2 separate regions of the Mus musculus genome follow, and region 2 is reported to be linked to region 1. Evidence: microRNA targets listed by miRTarBase, many of them from high-throughput screens and not tested one by one. Region 1 holds a microRNA gene; the other region holds the end of a gene's coding sequence.
Evidence for each region. Region 1 holds the annotated microRNA mmu-miR-30e-5p (UGUAAACAUCCUUGACUGGAAG, at 1,540-1,561, shown strand). A microRNA usually pairs through its seed, bases 2 to 8, with sites in the 3' UTR of a target mRNA and lowers its output. Matches are read on the target gene's strand: a 7mer-m8 pairs with bases 2 to 8, a 7mer-A1 pairs with bases 2 to 7 and ends in A, and an 8mer does both.

Region 2: the mRNA of Lrrc55 is a reported target of mmu-miR-30e-5p. Seed matches in the 3' UTR shown: 7mer-m8 at 2,822-2,828.

What each region holds. Positions count from the first base shown.
Region 1 is chr4:120,771,001-120,774,220 of GRCm38, reverse strand. It overlaps Mir30e (microRNA 30e), which reads left to right and starts at 1,524; the gene lies at 1,524-1,615. Nfyc (nuclear transcription factor-Y gamma) reads left to right here. Exons shown (of 10, transcript NM_008692.4): 5 at 454-549. Mir30f (microRNA 30f) reads right to left here and starts at 1,615; the gene lies at 1,524-1,615.
Region 2 is chr2:85,189,253-85,192,252 of GRCm38, reverse strand. It overlaps Lrrc55 (leucine rich repeat containing 55), which reads left to right. Exons shown (of 3, transcript NM_001033346.4): 3 at 108-3,000. The coding sequence ends at 343. Among named protein-coding and RNA genes, the nearest start is that of Lrrc55, 8.0 kb to the left of the region's middle.

The DNA of each region.
Region 1 (3,220 bases):
GCTGACCTTGTGGACCACAGAATGCCAGTTGAGACTGCTGGCTTTGTCCTGAATTAGCCAGAGGATGGTGGTTTTACAACTTTATGGAAGCTTTGAAACCAGAACAAGCAGAAATAGTGGTGAGTAGGGCTCAGATGTCCTGGCCTAGAGCACGAGATATGTGTATCTCTTTCGTTGATTTCTGTCCAGCAAGTCTGATATAAATTGAGCTGTTCTTATTTTTAGCTCTAGACAAACCTAGAGATTTTTAGTACAGTCTAAAAGTCATCTCCTTGGGCTGGGGCATAGCTCAATGGTAGAATACCTGTCTAGCTTGTGTAAAGCTCTAGGTTTAATCCCAGACACTGGGACTAGGGGATAGGAGAGGATCATGTCCTTTTACTTGAAGGATAACAGCCAAAAGAACTAGATTCTTCCTAGGCCAGTTTTTAACTTTGTTTTTCTTTGTTACAGAGGAATGATATTGCCATGGCAATTACAAAATTTGATCAGTTCGACTTTCTCATCGATATTGTTCCAAGAGATGAACTGAAACCTCCAAAGCGCCAGGTGAGCTGGGAGGATTTGCTCAGCTGCCACCTCCAGGGCCTGGGCAAGATGCTCTCCGGAGCTCCTCCCTCCCTCCCACCCAAAGCATTTCTTGTTTGTGGTTCTCTTCCGTAGTCCAGATCATCCTCAGCATCTCCTTCTACTCATTTATGGGTACTTTTAACTCAGTGCCTCTGGGGTGGGGTTGCAGTGAGAGAACAAAGTTAAAAAGACTAGTCACAGATAGTGGGGTGAAGCTCAGTTCAGGATTTCTTCATCTAAAATAAAAGCTTTTTCAGCCAGTCAGTTTTCAGATTCTAAGAAACAACCTCTTTGTGCATAGTGATCAGATTGGAGCCAGTGGCTTTTATTTTCTTACTCTATGCTGTGTCTCTGTAGTGTGATGACTCTACCCATCATCCACTGAGTCAGAACCTATGACCCCATGACCCCAGGAATCAATAATTAAAGTTCCCTAGATGCTTTGGTGTCCAGTGAAGTTTTAGAACCACCATTTACATTTTTCTTTTTAATTACAAGAACTAAGTGTCTGCCCTTCTTCTGCCTGTTCATCTCCAAAGATCACACCATTTGTTTTGTTCAGCACTTGGGTGCATATAACTTAGTTGTGATTGTGATAGACCCCAGTCCTATAGAGCTCATTGTTTCAGGCACGCAGTTTGCATGATTCACTAGGTTTAGTGTAATATGCCTCAGAGAAGTAAAGCCATACCATGTCCTGCTTGTTTTATTTTTGTTCATAAAATATAAGTGTTTTTAACTAATTATTTTGTAGTATACTGTTTAGAGTCATTTAATGACAACCATTCTCCCCATGTTGACCTGTACAAATAACCAGTCAGAAAACCTGTTGGAGAAGTGGGCATCCTAATTGACATTAATTCTGACCCTGCATGAGGGTTTTTGGGTTAGCAAGCCCTGGGTCACCTCCTTATGGGAGCAGGTTGTGCCTCACTGAAGCTCTTTATTTTTCTGGGCAGTCTTTGCTACTGTAAACATCCTTGACTGGAAGCTGTAAGGTGTTGAGAGGAGCTTTCAGTCGGATGTTTACAGCGGCAGGCTGCCACAGTCGTCCCCGGCTGCGCTCATCGGCTTTGAGACATTGCAGGTTTGTGCCCATGAACTTGTCTCCTTTTCTTGGGTTACTTCCTTTCTCTCTGAGAAGTCACAAGAACTCAGACTGTCTCTCTTCGTTTGGAGCTGATAATACCATGAGCCTGTTTTCCTTATTGGATTTTTGCTCCCATGTATCCACCAGGAGTTTCCTTTAAAGACAAGGTGGTAAGATCTGTGATGCAGTCAGGCATTGCTCTTATTGTACTGATTGTTCACTATGGGCTGCCTGCTGAATAGATGACTAAAGAGAAAGTTATTATCCTATACCAGTGGTTCTCAGCCTTCCTAATGCTGCACCATTTAATACAGTTCCTCATGTTGTAATAACCTCCCAACAATAAAATTTTTTTCATTGCTATTTCATAACTGTAATTTGCTACTGTTATGAATTTTAATGCAACTATCTGTTTTTCAGTAGTCTTAGGTGATCCATGTGAAAGGATCTTTCCATCCCACAAAGGGGTCACAACCCACAGGTTGAGAGCTGCTGACCTATACCTTCCTCCAAAGTTGTTTGTTCTTCTGGGTCTGTCAGGGTGTTAGATTTGCTGGTGGTCTACCCCATCTCCCTCTTTTGTTCTTTGGTTTGGTTTGGATTTTTGAGATAGGCTCTCCCTGTGTATCCCTGGCTAGACTAGACTGTGTAGACCAGGTTGTTCTGGAACTCGGAGAGATCTATCTGCTTCTGCCTCCTGAGTGCTGGGATTCAAGGCATGGACCACTATACTTAGTCCATCTCCCTTTAAAAGGTATACAGCAAGAACACTCCTTTAGCTGCCTGGTTTTAGTTCTTTGTAGGTGTTTGAGCTATTGATTGGCATCCTATTCAGGACAGCTGCTGCCTGGCATTTAAAAGGTTGAGATTGCTGAAAGCTGGCCTGAAATTCTAAGATAGCATTTTTTAATTCTCTGTAGACATGAAGTTTTCCCAAGCTCCAAATTGGCTGGCACCTCCTAAAGTCCTTTAAAAGTGCCTACTCTCCAAAACACACCCTCTGAAGGAGGCAGCAGTTCACCCTGCCACTAAAGCAAATGTATTTTTTCCCCTAGTCTGGAGCTGGCTGCTCATCAGTGTAGTGATGACCCTGTGCTGTGATACTGTTTGTTCACTGTCACTGTTTTTCAGTCTCAGCACTGGAGAAGCCACTGTTAGTGTGGAGCAGGTACCCTTCTGTACTGAGTGTTAGCATGGAGCAGGTACCTTTCTGTACTGACCTATTCGGTCAGGTGTTTTCCTAGGGCTTGGTGCTGATCCATCTGGAAAGGGAGACACTGGATTATGAGGCTTCTCAGAGATGATTTGGAGTCTCCCTCTCTCTTTTTTGCCATGGAAGTAAGTAGATTGTCTGCAAGTAGATGGTAGTTGAGGGTTGACTTCTCCCCGACTAAGCTATGAGTTGAAAGTTCCTTGCTCATTGAAATGTCATTATCTTTTCACCCATTTCTTTAAATCAAGCATCATCATTTCCTGCTGGCTTGATCTCCATTTGCAGAATGAGTGCTTCATAAAGCAGAAGAACCTTACTTGTGCCTCCTTCCATCACAGCAATTTGAA
Region 2 (3,000 bases), not on the chromosome of region 1:
GGCACATAGAAAAGACTCAGCAACTCTCTGGAAGCAGGTTAGTGGGAGGCTTTTCCATCCCGTCCTCTCCCACAGAAGTCTCACCCTAACCCATTTCTGTGTTGCAGATTCTCAGCTTGCTGAGTGTCGGGGACCCCCTGAAGTTGAGGGTGCCCCCCTCTTTTCACTCACTGAAGAGAGCTTCAAGGCCTGCCACCTGACTCTGACCCTGGATGATTACCTCTTCATCGCATTTGTGGGCTTTGTGGTCTCCATCGCTTCTGTAGCCACCAACTTCCTCCTGGGCATCACGGCCAACTGTTGTCACCGTTGGAGCAAGGCTAATGAAGAAGAAGAGATTTGACACAGGTGCCTCTCATCCCTCCATGCTGCTGCCACTGCTGCTGACCGCTGGACACCCTGTATCACGGTGCCCTGGCCATCTCCATCATAGCTCAAACAAGGTTGGAAAGCTAACTTTGTATGAGCATCCATCCACTTTGGGCCAGGCACTGTGCTAGCAACTGAGAATGAAAGACAAATTCAATCCGGTTCCTGCCCTTGAGGTACTTACTTCTAATAAAGGAAAACAATTCCAAAACATCCTCTTATGACAAAATGCCAATACTCTGAGCATAGAGTGAGGGAAGCCAAGCGGAGGGTCCATCATCTGTGCCTCACAAAGTCCAAGAAGAATTGCAGGAATTATCTGCTAAGTAGATAGGGAAGGGTGGACATAGCAAATGATAGGACCTTGTATGCAGGTCGTGTTAAGAGCAGCAGACCTTGTGGCCTAAGTACATAGAAGAAGTAGGTGCAAAAGTAAATCTCTCCCTCTGACACCCAATTTTTCAGTTCCCACTGCTGCCTGCCACTGCCCTCTAGGAGTGAGATAGCCTCCATGCCAGACACCTTGACCTTCTCCCATTAGCAGAAAGGGGAGTGAAAGGACCTCCCAGCGACTTCCCAATTGTAGTCTAGTTGTGAAGTAATCACCCTCAGCACCCTTCCTCCTCTCCCTGTCTCTGCTTCTGACTTAAGCCTTGTCTTCAAAGAAAAGGCAGGAAGCCTCACAAGGAGGCAGCAAAAGTCTTGGCACCCTGGGACCCCAATTTATGTGACTGTTCTTTCCATGGTGCTCACACCAAAGGAACTCACCAGGAAAGTGCACTGTAGGGTGCAGATCCTAGCATGGCAGTAACCGGGGCAGGAGGACAAAGCCACCACATTCATCCCCACAGGACGGTATGTCTTCTCTCCTTAGTAACTTGTTCATTGGAGCATAAAGAAAGAATAGCTATTAATTGCTGGTTCTTGCTAGTGTCGGGCAGTATAAGCTCCCTCCTCCGACATTCCTTTCACACATACAACAGCCCTTTGGGGGGATTTATTGTTCCCATTTGGCAGATAAGGTCATCAGGCTCAGAGAAGGTAGCATGCCTGCTATGTCATGTTCAAGATAAAATCAGTATTCTTCATCACAGTTCTTTCTAAAGCTATGAAAATTCAAGTTCAAGCCACACTAATGAAGTTGCCGATAAGGACCAGGCACTCCTCTGGGCATGGTTCTATTTGCTGATTCATCTCTTGCTATTCTTACTGCCAGATAGTCTTTATCATTCCCACTTTCCAGTTGAATTCATTGTGGAGAGCTGGGATGCTTATCCAAATTATCTGCATGAACAAAGAGTATGACAGGTGACTCCTCTGAGGAAATATGAATCTAATCAGTTAGAAGCCAAGGACTCTGTGGGAAACACAATGCTCACCGTCTTTGTCATCATCTTCATTTTCCTCATCCATGTCACCTGCTTCATCATGATCTTCCCTGTCTCCTTGGGCACTGGAAAGTCTAGGATGCTTCTTTTGTATTCTCTTCCTGTGTGGGAACCAAATCAAGATGATGTCCTGGAGAATGGAAAGTAGAGGCTAAAGGTTGGGTATGCCTTCAGCCTAAGACTAGACTCAGTTCTGTCAGGGTTCTCTTTCCAGTGCTTCCTCGGGTACCTGATGGAAGAGAATGTCCTGGAAGCCTGCATAGCAGGACCCCAGAATTCAGCACTCATCATAACAATAATAATCACAAAAACCAATAAAAGGCAGCAGTAAAGCCCAGCTGTGCACAGACTATGCTCCCAGTGGGGCAACTCCAGCCTCTGAAACAGAGGCACCACAAGTGACATCTAAACAGAAGACGCCACCTTAACAGTATATGAGCACATCATTAGAACTAGTGGCTGTGATGTCTTTTTTTTTTTTAATCAGATCTTTGGAAAACAGGAGATGTACCTCTACTGTGTTGTGTTGCAAGAGAAACTGAAGGATCTGAGAAAATGATAGGTGAGAACCCCTGAACAGGAGATGGGGAGATCCATCTGGGTAGTCCCAGTCCTGTTAGCAAGGCTGGCTTGGTAAGAAAATGAAACAAGAGCTTTCTATCTTGGCTCCAACCCTGGCAAGCATCCATCATACACCCTGCCACCCAGCTGACTTACAATGCATGGAGAAGGGGAACGTGTCGTAATCCAACTCATCTGCATTGATCTAATCAGCCAAAACAGACCCTGGAAGCTTTCCCCCCCACCCCCACTCTTGCTTTCAATGCCTAGGCCACAGCTCTGCTCCTATAAAATATGACATAGAACTATGCCCTGCTCTCCCTGACCACTCAACTGTGGCCAACAATGGTAGACTCTAGCTAGTCTCCATAAGCTAAGCTTCTTGCCTAAAGTGTTTTTGGAAAGGAACTTTTAGAAATAGTATTCCTGATTTTAAAAAAAAAATCATTTAACTTTCCTTAGAAGAACATCATGCTCACTGATAGTAATCTCCTGGACACCACTGTTTACTGAATTATAGTTACCATATTTTAAGATCTACTACTCTGTTTTACATAGAATTAGAACAAGACAAGACACCAAATGCCTCTTGAGATCAAGTGTTCTTTTGAGTGGCACAATTTGATCTCCATTAATGGCGAAGACTTCTAAGCAAGCTATATCAAGACAATGTTTCTCCAGC